Nothobranchius furzeri: one gene and its partners. The protein of the gene in region 1 interacts with the protein of each later gene in a pairwise test. Links are inferred from orthologs where the notes say so. Each region holds a gene or a part of one and is shown in the gene's direction. Other genes may lie near its edges.

Region 1 (5,968 bases):
ATGTTTTGTAACTGTCACTTCCATTTTGCAGCTTGTAATTTGTGTTTTGTAACTCAACTTTGTACCATGTCATTCTTATAATGTAACATGTAACTTTCGGTACATACCATGAAACTTCCATTTTGTAACTTGCAGAAAAAAAATTTATGTACAAGTTTCAAATCACAACTCTCAAAATACACATCTAAGTCTACAGTTACAAAACTTAAATCTACATGGTACAAAAAACATTTTGTCCCAATTCTAGCTCCCTTTCCCAAAGAACCAGTGACAGGCGTTGTCTGACAAGCCAATCGTGAGTCGTGGATTCCTGTCCAATCATGGCAAGAAGGCAGAGGTCTGTTGTACAGCTCACAACCCAACCTGTTCACATTCTCACTCTTTACCAGTTGGTGGCGGTAATTATTAGGAAAACTAAACTGATGAAAATGAAGAACTTACATTTTGAATTAGAGCATGATTTCATATCCAAGAAATGTGATTGGCTGATAAGACAAAGCCTGTCATTGGTCCTTTGGGAAGGAAGGTAGAATTGGCACAAAATGTTTTGTAAGTAAGTAAGTAAAGTTTATTTATAGCGTCTTTCACAGATATAAATCACAAAGTGCTGCACAACATGAGTAAAATCAGGGCAAATACCTCAAACTAATAAAAACATCATAAATATCATCATTGTACACATAGACTTGAGTTTTGTAACTGTAGACTGAGATGTGTGTTTGGAGAGTTGTGATTTGAAACTTGTACGTAGATTTTTTTTACAAAACGAAAGTTTCACATTACGTACCAAAAGTTACGTTACAAAACAGGAAGTACATGCTACAAAACGAAAGTTGCAGTCATGCAGTTACAAAGCATGTTACAAGTTACATGAAATATTGTCACAATCCTAGCTCTATAGATGAAATGAGTCAAGTGATTCATTTGACCTCAGATAAATGAAATTTGCCTGACCCCCTGTTGGCTCTGCAGTAATATTCCTATGATAAAATAAATCACGTTTTATTCTTTTGGTGTGTATGGAAATAGGCAAAAGCTGTGAGTAAATTAAATGTTGGACTTGCACAAAGCTGAGGTTGCTGAGGTGGTTCAGACATCAGGATGCCTCCCTCTAGAGTTCAAAGGCCTTTGAATATCTCCCTCTGGAGGTTTTCCAGACACATCCCACAGGGAGAAGGGAGTCTACATCCTCTCTGGCCATTTAAATGCCAGTAACTTCATCTCTATGGTTACTCTCAAAGCTTGCACCTCTTTTGGTTGCTCCTCATTCCAGTTTGCTGCTTCCAACGACTGGAATGAGCTGCAAAAATCACTAAAGCTCACTGCCTACATTCCATTATCTACCTTCAATTATTCATTGCAGTCAATAGTTTCTGATCACTTAAAGATTGTTTAAAGTCTGTTTTGATATATGAAAACAGTCCTTTGTCTTTATGTCTAACTGTTTCATCTCATTTTTATATTGTATGTTTTCATCTTAACTGTTTTTCTTTGGTGTAAGGCTAATTATGTGTCTGTTGCTGCTGCCTCTTTACCAGTTCGTCATTGTTAATGAGAATGAGTTCTCAATCGACTTGTCTGGTTGAATAAATGTTAACCGCTCTGGAGGCAGGCGTTGCAGATTTGCAACAGTTAAAACCTACCTACCTGGTTACTTCACACACGTATTTCATGAGCATTTTAACTCAGAAGTACCCCTGAAGGACTGAGTTGTTTGTTCTTTTACCAAAACTTATTTTGAGCCTGAGAGGGTTAAATAAAATGCGTTAAATAAACAAATAAATAAATAAATGTGACCAGGGAATATCTCCCCAGGAGGAGCTGGAGAGCGTCACTGAGAGGTATGTCTGACCTGAGGTTGGGTCAGAGGGAAACATTAGTGGATGGATGAATGAATAAACGGATAACTGGTTTAGAAATGTAGCAGTACGAAATACCTGCTACAGAAACATGAACATAAACTTTTAGTATCCCTCCGGGATCATTCATTTTTAGCTGAATTGTGTTTGCGCTGTCTCGTTTTTCAGAGATCAGGAAGCAGTACCTTAAATAACTTCTTGGCTTGCCAAACTTGTGCGACTGTCTGCAGGTTGATTCTCCTCCTCGCCGCCAGGGGGCAGCGTCACTTTACCGGAACACAGAAGACCACCAACCTTTCCCGTATCCTGGCGAATAGCCATGCGAATAACTGAGAAGTGCGGTGGAAGATAAAAACAACAGCACAGCACGGGTTAAAATCTTGTATTTCTTTCTAAAGTTGCCTTTGCTGATGTCCTTGTGGTTCGTGTGACTTCCGGTTGGAGGAGCTGGCTGAGCAGAGCTGCTAACAGTGTTTCGTTAGACACCAGGACCAAGTTAGGCTTGTGATTTCTGGTAACTTGTGAGGCTCGATGAGGAAACCCAGCCCTCCTTCAGAGTGGTAAACAAGACCTCAGGCTCCCGCCGAGTTAGACAGCTGGTTGTTACGTAAAGAAGGTAGCAGGATGACAGGTAAGCGCGTGCTGCGTGCTGTTGTCAGGTGTTTAAAATGAAACGGTAACGTGTTGTTTCCTCAGAGGATGCCGTCCTGCTGAGTGTTCCCATCATCCGGCAGCTGTACCACTGGGACTGCGGCTTAGCCTGCTCCAGGATGGTCCTCAAGTAAGCGAACATTAATGAGACCCCGGGCTCCTGTTGTTACAGCCATTAGAGTTCAACCCAAAGTGTTGGTGGTGTTCTGCAGGTATCTGCACCCCGTGAGTGATGAGGACTTCCAGACAGCATGCTGGGAGCTGAAGCTGACTGAGAGCGTGTGGACTATAGACCTGGCCTACCTCATGTGTCATCTAGGAGTCAAACACTGCTTCTGCACACAGACCCTGGGTGTCGACAAGGGCTTTAAAAACCAGGTATGAGGAGGAATCTTTGCTTTCATCTACAGTGATGCTTATAAGTATCCACCCACTTACAGATCTCTTCAGTTGTTGTGTCTCTTAGACGTCTCAGACGACGATAACCTGAGTAAATACAGTTTTAAATGGTGAGGGAAAAAACCCTGGTTAACTACGATAGCTGGTGATCTGAGTTGAGCTCCACCAGCCGCGCCGTGATCCTGATCACTACCAGACCTGTAGAAAGAATCGCTTCAACGGAACCTGTCTGACAGCACGGCGTGTCCCACTGCATTGCACTGTATCAAAAAAGGTCAAGATGGCAGCAGTCAGACACGGTGGTGGTAGTGTGATGGTCTGGGGCTGCTTCAGCACCACCTGCAGTAACTGATGGAACCATTAATTCTGCTCTTTAGCGGAACATCCTGAAGGAGAACATCTGACCTTTGAACTTAAGGGTTGGAAAATCCTTCAATGTGACTCAAATAAAACGACTCCGTAAAGCAGGGTGGGACAAAACTCCTCACTGATGTCTCCAGTAGCCCTAGTGATGGGATTTATGGCTCTTTCATGGGAGCCGTTCATTAGTTGGTCGTTTACCTCAAAGAGCCGTTCAAAACACTGGCTCCTTTGACCGAATTGTTTACAGCCAGATCTTGAGGAGTTTTTTGATGAAAATGTGAACTCGTCGCTGTAATAAACATCCCTTCCTTTTTAGCAACAAACCAGGTTCAGTTTCTTTCATAAAAGAACCTGAAAAACATCAAATGTGAACTTGTAATAATTCTTGTAGCATTTTATCACACTGTAGAGTGACTTTATATCTGCTGGCTCTACTGGGGTTATCTTATTACTTCGTTATTAGGCTATCCTGCTTTAATAGGTTAAGGCTGTTTGCAAGTTAGAGCACATCTCTCATCATCAGATTAAATGTGCATCAATTAATCAAAAATTAAGTTAAAGCTGATGATGATTTAGACCTATTTTTCACCAGTTTTCATTATTCTAGAGAAGAAACCGACCTGATGCACACAGCTGGGCAGAATGGGGCAGTTTTATTAAATGTCATACCCAGGTAAGGCACATGTGTTTATCCTGTGTACTCTTAATGCTTCAGAGCCAAGAGAAATAAGGTAAGTCAAACAGTTTGAAAAATGCAACAAGATTTAAAATTCACATTTTACGTTTTTCAGGTTTTTTTATGAAACATAAAACCTAAAATATTGTGCAAACCAGGACAGAATGTTTATTATAGCGCTAAATTAACTTTTTCTTTACCAAACTCCCCAAAACAGCTTCCTGCTGGTGGCAGAAGGACACAGTCAGCACTTAGCACGGACAGCCAGTTTGCTGTTAAATGAAATAGCCAATCGTAGTAGAGCCTTTCTAGCCAATCAGAGACGAGAAAGGTGGGATCTTCCATTTTTGGTTCTTTTTAACTAACAAAACAAGGTTTCTCTTTACCTTGCCGACAGGAACACAACTGTCAGCAAGGTAAAGAGAAGCCTTTCCTGTGTTTTAAAATGAACCAAAAACAGAATTTGAAGCCAAACACAGAAAGAACGTACCAAAGAAGGTGGGATCTTCCTTGAACATCCTAGAATTCCAAATAACGCCTCCTCCCGGGGAGGTTAGTTACTGGAAGACAAGATGAACGGCTCCCTACAGGGACTCGGCTCTCATCGTTCACTTTGAAAACCCGTTCAAAAGATTCAGTTCGTTCCTGAACGTCACATCACTAAGTAGCACCCATGGGTGAAATACACAAAACCTGGTGGTTCTGATAGATTTTAGTTTGTCTGGTGATGACATGTTTAATCTGAAACAATTAAGTGACAACAAAGCAAAGCTGAAGAAATCTGAGAGGGGACAAATGTTTTGTTGTGTACACAAGTAGTGATGATCACTTTTGTTTTCCAGTCCTTTTATAAGAAGCATTTTGACACAGAAGAAGACCGAGTGAACAAGCTCTTCTGTAAGGCAGAAACCACAGGTGTGGTGGTGAAGAAATGGTGAGTCTGGGGTGGAGAGTGATCCACTTGTTGGCTCTTGTTGTTCTGGGATCAGGACGGATTTTGTTCTTCTTCTTCTTCAGCTCGGTGACAATTCAGGAAATCCAGTCCCATCTGGAGCAGGGCCATGTGGCCGTGGTGCTGGTGAACGCCGTGGTCCTGACCTGTGAGCTGTGCTCCTCACCTGTCAAATACTGCTGCTTCCTCCCTGTGGGACAGAAGTGCTTCTGCAGGAAACCTGAGTACCAGGGTCACTTTGTGGTTGTGTGCGGCTTCAACAGAACCACCGGCTGCGTCTTCTACAACAACCCTGCCTATTCTGACCGTGAGTCCATCCTGTTGGTCCAAAACACCGAAACCCTGCTGCTCTCATTTTCTATTTAGTAAAGCAAAAAAAAAAAGCTTTTGAATGCTCTGCCAACGGTGTGATGGAATCCTGGCATGTATTAATGCACAGGTATGGAAGTTATGTTGATTTTTGCACAGGAAGTTTAATGTTTTATAGGCTTTTCTCCTCATTTCATCAGAGACGATCAACCAACTTTAGTTATCTGAGATTTCAAAAAAGCATCAGCGGATCTTCACACTCATGAATCTACTGAGGTCACTTAAGTCCTAAATAAACAGGATTCAAAGCAGGTTTAACACCAGAGCTGCTCTTATAAGGGCCACAGCTGGAACATCTGGGTACCGCCTGTGCAGCTGGGTCCAACTCATAATTAGACAAGTAGTTATTTAATGTTTAATAAGTGTGTGTGTGTTCTCCAGGAGTGTGCTGCACCAGCATCAGTAACTTTGAAGAGGCCAGGCGGAGCTATGGGACAGACGAAGACATCCTCTTGGTTTTTAAGGACAGTTGATGGACGGACGAGATGGTGTGATCAGTACCGCTTCAGCGCACTGGCGCCCCCTGCTGTCTGTACATGTATAGAGATATTATATATGAGTACACATTTCTATACAAAATCCAAACTGTTCACCTTGGATGGATCCTCAGCAGGAAGACGTTCTGAGATGAGATATTTTTCTACTGGATGGTTTAGGACGAGCAGATGGTCCAAATGAGTTTTACTGTTTTTGTATTTG
Region 2 (6,240 bases), on another chromosome or scaffold:
AAAACCAGTTTCCTTGTCCGGGGATCAGACCGCCAAGGCTCCCACCTCGGTCTGCAACCCCATCCACACTGCACCGGACCCTTCATGTTCCTCCTGCGGGTGGTGGGTCCACAGTTGAATGAGCCCATGTATCCGGTTCGGGCTGGGCCTGGCCGGGCCCCATGGGCGAAAGCCCGGGAACCAGGCGCTTGCTCACGGGCCCCAACCCCAGGCCTGGCTCCAGGGTGGGACCCCGGTAACCCTCCGGGCCGGGTACTCTTACTCTTTGATTGTACATCCATGAAAGATCCTCTGAACCGTACTTTATCTCACCCTTCACCTAAGACCAATTTGTCATGGGAGACCCTACCAGGGGCACAATGTGCCCCAGACAACAGAGCTCCTAGATCATTAGGGCACTCAAACTCCTCCACCACGATAAGGTGACAGTTCAAGGAGGAGGTAAAAATGTTGTGTGCCAAAAAATATTGATTGATCATATTTGAGTGCATGCATCAGTGGTATTTCGGGGATCATTTGTTTTGTCTTGAACTGAGGGCTCTCTTAATTTTAACAGCACCCCCTAAATCCTAAAAAGCATTATGCGCCTGTAAAATGCATTCCTAAATTGAAATACTGTAGATGCCGCTCTGTTCTTGAAGCATTTGAAGAACACACAAACATGGTCTCTCTTAACAGGCAACTCTCTGAAATTTCCCCCTCAGCAGTCAGTTTTATTGTAAATGGCATGTTATTGAAGTTGGAACACATTGAAATAAATCCCTTTTCTCTCTATCAGTGATTTTAAAAATGTTTCTTTATGTAGCTGCACATGGTGGGATGGGGTTGACTGCCCACTCCAGTCACGTTCCAGTCACCTGACTCTGTGTTGGGTTGTGTTTGCACCTGACTGTTCAACTCTGATCAATACACTTAAATTAGCCACCCGTTTCTCTAATCATTGCTTCTCTATATTATTATTTAGTTGTGCTCATTTCAATTTTTTTGCATATCTATTATTTTTTTGAAGCACACATATGTGGGCCCCATATGGAGCACGTATGGGCAAGCCCAATGGGTCCCACCAGGGTTTGTCCGCAGTTTCCACAGTGGCCCCACAGGGGTTTGCCCACAAACATTCTAAACCCTCTGAATACCCATGTCGGGCCCATTAAAATCTATGTAAGTAAGTAAGTAAGTAAAAGCTTATTTATAAAGCGCCTTTCGCAGATATGAATCACAAAGTGTACAACATGAGTAAAATCAGGTCAAATACCTCAAACTGATAAAAACAGATCATAAAAAACAATAGCAGTGACAAAATAGTAAACAAAATCAGGAGTAAAAACAAAGTCAAGGTATGAGCAAAGACAAAGCCATCTTTCAGAATATTTAGCAGGGGAATGCCTGGATGAAAAGGTGAGTTTTTAAATGTTTTATGTGGGCAAAGATCTCTCTAGACCAGGGGTTCCCAAATTGGGGGCCGGGGGTCCCCACAATTTTGTCTTTGCTGAGAGTGAGATTAGCAAGAATTTATTTGTAAAAATTACATAAACTCCCAATAACACACCCTACAGTACAACCAGAACTCCATATATAATTTATATTTCTGTGTGCCTGTATAAAGATGACAAATTATCACATTTAATGTGTGTACTCATGTAGGAGTTGGGGTTGGGGGTCCTGGCTTGTCTTGGACATGAGCAAAGGGGTCCTCAAAATAAATAAATAAATAAATAAATAAATAAATAAATAAATAAATAAATAAATAAAGAAAGAAAGAAAGAAAGAAAGAAAGAAAGAAAGAAAGAAAGAAAGAAAGAAAGAAAGAAAGAAATTGGGAACCCCTGCTCTAGACAAACCCAGGTGGGACCTATGGCTTGCCCATATAGGTTCCATTTGGGCCCATTTATGTGTGCAGACAGGTTACTGCAGCAAGTTCCTAACGTTGTGACTTCTTACAAATATGACAATGAACCCTTCTGGTACTGATGGAGGGATGGGGTTATAGACAATCAAATGAATAAAGTTTTTCAGTTGGAATTTGATAACAGTGGGACTAAAACTGGTTATTGTGGACAATGCCTTTGTGTGGTTATGTCCTGGCCTTTTTTAAATTGGAAACTCCAAATGAACATTTTAAGAAATGTCTATGCGATTCAGAATGAACTGACAATAATACAACAATATTTATTAGCTTTGCATTTTCTAACTTTGATCATGAACAACCAACTCGGTAAACTGCCGAGTGTTTGTTCAGTTTGTTCAACATATACAAAAAATTTAATCTTCTGAAAGTAACATTTTGTAAAAAATTCATCATCATTTAGTAGGCTAATAACAACATAATGCTATCAAATACACCAGTTTGTAATTTCACTCAACAATTATGAAAAGAAGACGTTGTAAAAAATTATTTTTTACTGATAAATATTTGAAATGATGAAGCAGAAATTTTCTTACATTTGCGATTTAATTCAAATGGAAGTACAAGAAAAAGCACAGTAGTCTTGAAAAATTACCCAAGCTCTCCTGCTCGCGTATTAGTTGTAGTTCTTCCTCCCCCTGCCTTTTAAGAATGGGACTACAACCTGACTTCACTTTTTCAACAATGCATACAATTTATTTTAAGTCACAGCAGCTGCTGAGACTAAGACATACCTAATATTAAAAATCTTTCCCAACTTGTTTTTGTTTTTATTTGTTTATTTATTGTTTTACTTTGTAGATTTTTTTAAAACGTAATCCGCATTTAAAATATAATTTTCTTGGTAAATTAAGTAATGTGAACACAGCGAACCCATTATTTAATGTCAGGAGACATTATTAGATGAACACCTCTCTGACTCAAACAAGAACAATAGTTGCATCAGAGCGGCAGCATGAATTTGGAAATAACGTGGGCCGGACGCCCCCTCTACAACAGCCAATCAGCGTGCTGGTTGCTCCGCGCTGCGTGCTGATTGGCTCAGGAGCACGAGCTTTCCGCTCGGCCCTATTAAATGTATTTCCCTTTACCGGTAGCGGTAATGCAGACTCACCCTGGGAACACTGTGGTTCAGCTACTTTGGAGGCGCGCGCTGCGATGGAGCAAACGAACAAACAAGATGAGCCGACCGGTGTCTTCACAGGCTTCCGCACCGCTTTCAAATCTTTCGCTACAGATGCTATACACGTCGGTCAGGAGCCGGAACAGTGGAGCTCAATGGCCGTAGTACCGCTGATATCCCTCTCTACTACCTTCAAGCAGCACTCACCGGGAAACCATGCCGTAAGTAGCCTGATCGGTGTCGGTTATTTATGGCTGGGGGTGACAAGACGTGCCTGTTAAATACATCCTATCAAATAAGCTGTAATGTTACCTCATCCAAAACGTTATCATCATTCAGGTTTTTTTTAAATATTTTAAACATATCCTCCGGTCCCCCTAAAAAGATGCAAATCAGACCAGTGAGCTGTTTGATTATACTTCCTGTTTTTACAAGGGAATTCACCCTATTACCAAAACTATAACACCAGTACTATTAGAAAGTTTTCTGTTTCTTTTCACTTCAATTCATCTCAGTGATGAAGTCAAGATTGCTGGATTTCCTCCAGTTTTTCTTCAGCAAATGTAAGACTGAGGCCGCCTACAGATTCAGCCCACAGCTGTAATTCTGCCAAATTAGAATTTTTTTTATCATCTTTCAAACATCGTTGATTTTTTTAAATTCATTTCCTATGGTTACAGTCTCTTTTCACTGAACTGGTAAATTATTTGTCCAAGTCAAACAAGGCCCTATAGCTGGAGATGTGTAGATTTTCTTATTTTACAGATAAGCCAGTATTCCAGGTGGCTTTTCTCACTCGCTTATCTAAACTCCACACAAAACCAGTAGACGATACAAGATTATATTTCACCCTAAATATCTTTTGCAATTCTTTAAACTACAAATCATGTGTTCCTATCATTATCTTCAGGCAATAACTTACTTCGTACATCAACCAGCTCAGTGGTAGTGTCTGCTCTGGGACTGGGAGAACTGGGTTCAAAACCGGTCGGGTCACACCCAATGCCTCCCTGCTTGACACTCAGCTTTAAGGAGTTGGATTGGGGGTTAATCCACCAAATAGTTCCCGAGCGCAGCCACAGCTACAGCTCACCGTTCCCCACAGAGATGGGTCAAATGTGGAGATGAATTTCCCCAGTGAGTGATTACTATGGGAGTTTAACATTATTGGAGAGGTGAACATAGGTTATTTTCAACAGTATTCTTCTAAAATGTGATGTTTAGCATTCATAGCAATTCATTTGTTTCTTTTGTATTCAGAAAACCCAAATAGAAATTCACTTTGATGAAGAAAATATTTATTAAAATGTTGCATTTCTTCAGGGCTTTGAGTACAGCCGGAGTGGAAACCCCACCAGAAACTGTCTGGAGAAGGCTGTGGCAGCGCTGGACGGAGCAAAGTATTGTAAGTAAACAATATGATTCAGCATTTGAACACAAATAGGTTTTCTTCTCACTGATGACACAAACCACGTTCTTTCATTTTAACAAGTTTTTTGTTGAAAATCCCTGCAGCTCTTGCTTTCGCCTCAGGACTGGCCGCCACAGTGACCATCACTCACATGCTGAAAGGGGGCGATGGGATCGTCTGCATGGATGATGTGTACGGAGGTGAGTCTCCCTGCTCCCACATCTGTTTTAATACTTGCACTTTCTGTTTAACTGAGCCTCACGCCCCCTTTTTAAAGGCACAAATCGCTACTTTAAAAGAATTGCAGCTGAAATCGGTCTGGACGTGACTTTTGCTGACTTCACTAAACTGGAGCTGCTCAAGTCCGCTCTGAAGCCCAACACCAAAGTAGGTCAAGGAAAGATAAGAATATGAAATAAATCGGTGTTGGTTGTTTGCTTTGTGTTACTCATTCTCTGCTTTTGTTAAACGCTCTTTCATTGGTTGTCTTTTCTGCTAAGTCAGAGTAGTCTTTGTGTGAGTCATCGCTTTGTGTAACGATCTGTTTTTACCAGCTTGTCAAACGATTGACTCCTGTTGTGACAGGACTTCTTCTTCTGTCTCATGTGTAGCTGGTGTGGATGGAGTGTCCAACCAACCCTATGATGAAGGTTGTGGACATCAGGGCCTGTTCTGAGTTGGTGCACGAGCACAACAAAGACATAGTAGTGGTGGTAGACAACACATTCATGTCTGCGTATTTCCAGGTGGGACTGTCACTCTGTTGACTCTGAAGCTACAGTTTAATCGTTTCCTTTAATGAAAATCCGGTTCACTTGAGAGGAACTTGCTGAATGATTAACTTATGTGTTTGTCTTGCACTGTCAGCGCCCCTTGGCCTTAGGTGCAGACGTCTGCATGTATTCAGCCACCAAATACATGAACGGTAGGTTTTACACACACACACTGTTTTTCACACAGACTTGATACAAACATGGGTTGAATTAAAAGTAAAAAAAAGGTTGCTCAACTTATAATACCAATAAAATCTCTAAAATTACAACCAATAATGTGTAACCCCAGACATTAGGAGCATTTGTTTTAGTTTTTAACTGGCAAAGGAAATTAAAAAGTACATAAAAGTCAAATGATCTTGCCAAACTAGCAACCCAGATCTAATACATGTAGTAAAGGGCACACATTTATAAACCTGTGATATTCTTTTGTTTTTCTTTTAAAAAAAACAGACTTGAACTTTTATCAATGGAGTATCCATTTTTGATTAATTAATAAAACAAGTTTTGTCAAAAGGCAGAAAATACTAATATATACAAATGCAACTTTGTTTTTTTTTCATTGGAAGAATGTTAGATCAGTTCTTGTTTAGGGTCATCTATAGAAGCTATTAAAGGATGTGAAACTTAAATAAAAATAGATTTTGTTATTACTGATAACTTTCTGCTCAAATGTCTATTTTTCATTTGTTTCACTTGAGTCTTTGCACCGTTCCACCAAAGCAAATTCCTAGTAATGTGAGACTCTCACTTGGCAATAAAACACGATTCTGATTCTGATAACAGCAGTGCACTCTGATTACAACATATTTATTTATTTTGACTGACTGGCCAACGTGTGAAAAACATATTTGAAACGTTAGGTTAGACACTGCTAAAGCACACGATTCTGGTTATTTTAACTCCCAAAGGAACAGGATTTTATTCAAAAACGAGTTTGTGCTGTTCCTGAATTGCTTTTTCATTTTGGCAGGTCACAGTGACGTGGTGATGGGTCTGGTTTCAATAAACCGAGAGGATCTGCACG
Region 3 (6,144 bases), on another chromosome or scaffold:
ACAATTTGTTAAAATCAGTAAATATGTTTTGTTCTCAGGGGGGCTTCCATAGAACGAAGCATGGCATCCAGTATGGCGTTGCCCACAGACTTAGACCCACTCCATGTATTTTAGAACAGATGCTTTTGGTTATATGTTATGAAACTATCAATATTTTTCAACAACTAGGCATCTTTTAATTCATTTACAACATTTTTGATGGATATTTCCATAGATTAATGGTAAAAACTACAAATTATCACTTTGAAGAGTGTAAAATTTGTTTTAATATGAGTCCTATGCTTTTGTCTTCTTTCTGCCACCAAAAAGCCAAAAGGAGAAGGTGAAATGAGCCTTCAGTGTGTTTGAGAAGCAGATTGTGACTACCACATCAAGTGCTGGGTAACCAGCTTGCCACAAACAAAGGTTGGATAAGAAAGAAGTAAAGATACTGCATAATTTACATCATTCATTTATATTCTCACTTTTGAAAATACATTCAAACCCAAAGATTCTACATGCCCACATATCCCTTCAAAGGCTGGCACCATCACCATTAAACTGTTTCATGAAATAGAAGACCACACCCCACCGTACAAGTTGAACCTGCAGAGCAGTTTCCTGATCCGACTGAGATTCCTGTCCATGTTCTATCATCACCTATATTCACTCTCTAGCCCTGAGATTACAGAAGTAAACTAGCCACTGGCTATAATCTAGCATGTTTACTTGTAAATGTTAAACATGCCTTGTCCAGATTAATAAAATACTTTGCAGATTACATAATTAAAAAATAGATTAGATTTATATAGAGCTTTTCTGGACACTCAAAGCACTTCACAGAGAATCCACTATTGACTCACACTCATTCTCACACTGCTGGTGATGGTATACTATACAGAACCACAGCCGCCCTGGGGCAGTCTGCTCAAGGCTAGGCGTCCATGTTGCACCATCTGCCCCACTGACCACCACCAACATAGATGAAGTGTCTTGCCTGAGGAAATAACAGGAAGGAACTGGGATCAACCAGCAACCCTTCCACTACTGGACTACTCGCTCTACCTCCTGAGCTACTACTGTGTTACTATTTACACTCAATTATTATTATAATAACATTACTTTATCAAGCATCTGATTCTTGACAAGAACAACACACTTTTTAATATGGATTATCCAGGACTATGAAACACCAAGTAAAACCTTTATAAGCAATTCACCTGAAGGCTCCATCTCCATCTGCAGTGGGTGCGGTGATGTGGCTAGCATCCCCTGAGAGCCCATAGCCCAGAACCTCAGCATAGATCCTGGCTCCTCTTGTCAGTGCATGCTCCAGCTCCTCCAGCAGGAGCACAGCTGCTCCCTCTCCCATCACAAAACCATCTCTCTCTGGGTGGAAGGGTCTTGACGCCAGCGCAGGTCTGTCATTCCATTTGGTGGCGAGTGCACGTGCTCTGGCAAAGCCAGCTACTGAGAGCGGCCCTACACAGGATTCTGTTCCCCCTGTAACCATAGCAACTGCATCCCCATGGGCAATGAACCTGCTTGCATCACCGATGGCATGAGCGCCTGTGGTGCATGCTGTGGACACAGCATGGTTGGGACCCTTCAATTTGTGTTTGATGCTTATGTGCCCAGCAGCCATGTTGACCAGGATACGAGGAACAAAGAAGGGGCTAACTTTGTTGTAGCCCTTTTCTGTGAAGGCAGCAGAAGTCCGGGCAATCTCATCCAGTGACACCATACCCATGCCTACTGCTACCCCCGTGTTCAGCTGCTCTTCTGGGCTTTCAGGGTACCACCCTGAGTCCTCCAGCGCCAGTTGAGCAGCTCCAAGGGCCATGAGGGTCGCTGGTGACATTGAATTGATTTCCCCTCGAGAGGCAAACTTTTCTCCCCAAAACTGCCCCTCACCAGTGCCCCTAGGAACCAGAGCCGCCACTTTACAGGGGATAGTCTTGTACTCTTCTGAGTCCAGAGCAACAACCCCAGTCTGTCCTTTGATCAGGTTCTCCCAGGGAAGGCCAGTCCCTGTCCCCAGTGGGGACACCAACCCTAGTCCAGTAATAACAACCCTCCTTTGAGACTGCTGCCCACTGAACTGGTGCCTAGAGTCCTGGTTCGGACTAAACAGGGATTTGTGAAGCAGAGTCCCTAAACTGTGTGGTCTCTGGTGGATTTTGGCCCAATAGGACAGAGACAGAAAAGACATTCTACGATTTTAACTAAGACAGCAAACCGGAAGCTTCAGTAAATGGCTTACTGAGAGCATAAGGAAGATTTACAAGCAAAAGGCGAACTTTCCTTACGCAAAAACACTCAAATTGGTAGAGATTCTTATAAAAACATACGTGAAATAACTAGTCCATCATGACACCCGAGGATTTGTTTTTAGCTAGTCTTAGGTAGTAGCAGCTAACGCCATGATGCGTAACCTTTAATTTATAAACCAAAGCAGGCCCCAAAAAACAATTATCAGTACTTCATTATACTTTTTTAACGCGGCATAAATTTGTACTTGTATGACGTATATTTATAGCTGCATATTTCTTAAATATTTATAAAAGCTTCGACAAATTTAGTCAGGCGATGCTAGGACACGTGTTGTCAGGACCCCAGGCAGCTAAGCATTAGCATTTATAGGAGTTTCAGTGAAAAACGTTTCAGTTTTTCTAATTACTCTAAAATGTATCCTTCACCAGCGGTCTCAACGTTGTGTAAGAACCCAAGAGATGTGTTCCTGGACGTCTCTAAATTGCTGCTCACGTACGCGGACAACATTTTAAGGTAAAGCTGCAAATTAAACAATCGTGTTAGGTTTCACTGAAATACTCTTATACACACAACGAATTAACGCTTTGTCGACAAAGTGAAGCTAATGGAAGTGTAACAGGACGCTGTTTGGATTAAGGCGATTATTTTACTGTGTATCAATGTTGAAGGTTCAACTTTAAAGTGTTTGTGTGGATTCGGTGTACCAGGAAGTAGTTTAGGTCTGCGTTTAGACCTTGCTTCTGATCGCGAGACGAAATACATGAATAAACAACGTAGTCTGACTGAATCAGGCATTTCTGAAGAGTAATTAAGTACATTTTATTTATTTAAAGCACTTATCACAGACAGATAATCACAAGGTGCTTCACAAAGATCAAAACATAAAAGCACAAAATCACAATAATCTTAAAACAGAAATAAATTAAAATCAGAAAAACAAAGTCATATAATTTTATAATCATAATACAAATGAAAGATGATTACAAATTCGAGTTAAAAATAAGAAAATTAACGATTTAGATGAAAGCAGCTTTATGTAAAAGGATCTTCAGCTGTATTTTATAAGTGTATGAACTGTCAATACTAGGTAAGGATAAAGGAAGTTAATTCCAAAGTCGGGGTGCAACAGCCTGGAAAGAGCGATCACCTCGATGTTTATATCTGGTCTTTGGTACTTCTAGAAGGTTCTGGTTTGTGGACCTGAGGGCTCACTTACCACAGAACTCCCTGGGTTCAGAATAAAAGATGATTTCTGAAAAGCTGATTGTTTTTCCTTTGCCCAACAGGAGTCCTAATGAGGAAAAGTACAGATCCATCCGTATAGGAAACCCCACTTTCTCCACCAAGCTGTTGCCCATCAGAGGTGCTGTAGAATGTCTCTTTGAGATGGGATTTGAGGAGGTAAGAGCTTCCTTGTGGCTTTAATAGGTAAAGCAGTCACTCACACTGTGCATGCTTTGCTTCATTATTCTTCTTGGTAATTTTTCTAAACCCTTCCAGGCAGAGACCCACCTGGTCTTCCCCCAGTCTGCGTCAGTGGCACAGCTGAGGCTCATCAGGGAGTCAATCGCTGCAGAGCGGGATGTAAGGATGGCTGGTGAATATCCCGGCCAAGCCGCCGTTCAGCCTGCAACGGCAGCATCTTCGGCCCCAGAGAGATGTGCTGCTGCGTCTGATCGACCAGTAGCACCACCACCTCTGCAGCCATCGTCCCTGGTAGGGATGTTTTCTTTTAGAATTATGCTGCTTATTGTGCCTTTCCCTATATTCCACAAAGTTCCCAATTCATTAACATCTGCTTCTAATAGACGATTGAAACTTCCTTACTTGTGTAAATATAACGTGTCATAACATATAACCCCTGACTTAAAACAAACCAAAGTGACATAAAACAGTTTGATGGGATTCTTGTATTAATGTAAACAACAGCACAAAGTGCTGATGGAGCACAGTTAAAGCAACATAAGCTTCTCGCTTCTCCCTCCTACTGGTTGAAAGCAGAAATACAACTGTCGTAAACAACCCTGCCACAGCCTGCTGTAGCTAGCGCTAGTACGAGCCAACTGATATTAAAAAGCCACAAAGTAAAAAGATCTACACTGTTGGGATAAAATGTTGCTGACAAGTCTGCTCAATCAGGGAACCTCTGGGCCAATGCTCTGCTCTCAACTTTGCAATTAGCTTTGTGACTTTTATTATTTTGAGACGTTTATGTGTGTTTTAGCGAGCCTTTTCACCGTGGCGGCCGACCGGAGCGTTTTTTTATGCCTGCCTCCCCGCAATCAGGAATATAACAACAAATATTGAGTGCGGAGTGTAATCGTGACTAGAGAACGCATGAGATGAGGGTTAGTTTAGCTTAATATGATAGATTTTTTTTAGTGGACAAGTAATAATTACTGATAATATTGTGGATGATGGATATGAGCCTCCTAGATAGAATTTAAATTATTTTACATTAATTATAAATATAAAATTACATGAAAGAGCCTGTGGGACATTTGAGACATGTGTCTCTAGCTCTCAACTGTAGGTAGAGGTGTAGATAAAGAGAGAGATGGAGAGATAGATAGAGGGAGAGATAATTAAATATTTTTTTAGGATTCAGAAATATTTTATCCTTTTTTCTGTGAAGGGGTATGATTTCAATTTATGTATTTTAATGGTAAATAACTTCCAAAACATCTGAATTGTCAAAATAGATAAAATAGTGATTGTGATTTTGCAAAAACAAAATTATGATATGATTATTTTTCCATATCGCCCACCCCTACCTCCCACTAGTGCTCCTACCTGAGCCACAAAACTGTTAAAGTTCTACTATGCAACTTTTTCAAATCATTTTCTTGAGCCAGCATGTGCTAAAATGAACCTTTACAGGCTTAATGAAATGCTTCTCAGACCCCCACCACCCTATTTGGCCAGAATACCGGACTTGCAACTTCAGAGTGCCGGTCTGGTCCCTGCTGGACTTTAGTAAGGTGGAGCTGACATGCCTGAACACAGCTTATTTGTTTGATTGAGTGATGAGTGGCTGTTGAGTTGTTTATTTGCACTCCAAATAAGTTCATGTATTCGTGTTTACGTTTTTGTTCTCATTTGTCAAAGTTTCTTACTCAATGGATTATTTGTTTTACCTGATGTGACACCCAATGAGATTGCTTTCAGCACTGCATAAAAGACGTGACTGGAATAATCCCCCCCCCCCCCCCCCCATCAATGAATGTTGACGTGTCCGTCTGATTTGTTTTCTCCGTCAACCCTGATGATGAAACCTGGGAATGTTGAGCTCTGCTAACAGTTACACCTGTAGAAACTAATGAAGGCTAAGGAGACATTTCCACAGTTGGGTGTTAAAAAGACAAACGCACAACGAGGAGATCAGTTTCACTTTTACTAACGAACAGCAGGGTATTCTAAAAGCAAGCCAAAACTTCTTGGTATCCCTTTAAGTGCAGTTTCTACTCAGCAGAGGGTTTATAGTGCTGTCCGATGTGAAGTTGGTCAAGTTTATGGCTCAAGAACCACTGAAACCATTTTGAAAGCAATAGCTTCAAGTGATAAAAGCTCTTTAGGGTTGCTTTAATGCTGCTTTTGGTGAAATATGATCTACTGATGAGAATGTTGTTAGGAAAGAGCCAAGTTTTCTCTGTGCATCTGTGGGGTCAGTGAATGTAGCTGGAGGTGGAGAACATCACCACCTCTAGGACACATCAGCCTCTTTAGGAAGGACCTTTGAGAACTTGCCTTTTTTATTGTCTGTGATGCAGGGGAGCAGTGTGAGTTTCTTTGCAACTCTTCAGTCGAACTTCCAGCACGTGATGCGGTATGAAAGGCCTGAGCTGCAGCAGAAAGCTCTAAGCGTTATTCCTCACCAGCAGCTGCGTTCTG

The links.
Region 2: the proteins of gucd1 (region 1) and cystathionine gamma-lyase interact in binary tests that used the Homo sapiens proteins (3 or more experiments, as listed by UniProt). The two-hybrid records come from large-scale screens. The link is inferred for Nothobranchius furzeri from reciprocal best matches to the Homo sapiens genes GUCD1 and CTH.
Region 3: the proteins of gucd1 (region 1) and ngly1 interact in binary tests that used the Homo sapiens proteins (3 or more experiments, as listed by UniProt). The two-hybrid records come from large-scale screens. The link is inferred for Nothobranchius furzeri from reciprocal best matches to the Homo sapiens genes GUCD1 and NGLY1.

The regions. Positions count from the first base shown.
Region 1 is NC_091757.1:28,691,895-28,697,862, reverse strand, and holds the start of gucd1 (protein GUCD1), read left to right. Parts: upstream 1-2,124; 5' UTR 2,125-2,483; coding exon 2,484-2,490; intron 2,491-2,555; coding exon 2,556-2,640; intron 2,641-2,722; coding exon 2,723-2,888; intron 2,889-4,790; coding exon 4,791-4,882; intron 4,883-4,965; coding exon 4,966-5,207; intron 5,208-5,650; coding exon 5,651-5,742; 3' UTR 5,743-5,968.
Region 2 is NC_091748.1:59,532,220-59,538,459, forward strand, and holds the start of cystathionine gamma-lyase, read left to right. Parts: upstream 1-2,794; 5' UTR 2,795-2,809; coding exon 2,810-3,250; intron 3,251-4,352; coding exon 4,353-4,434; intron 4,435-4,544; coding exon 4,545-4,640; intron 4,641-4,717; coding exon 4,718-4,827; intron 4,828-5,051; coding exon 5,052-5,186; intron 5,187-5,307; coding exon 5,308-5,365; intron 5,366-6,186; coding exon 6,187-6,240. UniProt on the Homo sapiens protein: Catalyzes the last step in the trans-sulfuration pathway from L-methionine to L-cysteine in a pyridoxal-5'-phosphate (PLP)-dependent manner, which consists on cleaving the L,L-cystathionine molecule into L-cysteine, ammonia and 2-oxobutanoate.
Region 3 is NC_091751.1:24,885,292-24,891,435, forward strand, and holds the start of ngly1 (peptide-N(4)-(N-acetyl-beta-glucosaminyl)asparagine amidase), read left to right. Parts: upstream 1-2,566; 5' UTR 2,567-2,665; coding exon 2,666-2,766; intron 2,767-3,539; coding exon 3,540-3,654; intron 3,655-3,753; coding exon 3,754-3,969; intron 3,970-6,023; coding exon 6,024-6,144. Other genes in the region: oxsm (3-oxoacyl-[acyl-carrier-protein] synthase, mitochondrial), read right to left, coding at 1,200-2,191. UniProt on the Homo sapiens protein: Specifically deglycosylates the denatured form of N-linked glycoproteins in the cytoplasm and assists their proteasome-mediated degradation. Cleaves the beta-aspartyl-glucosamine (GlcNAc) of the glycan and the amide side chain of Asn, converting Asn to Asp.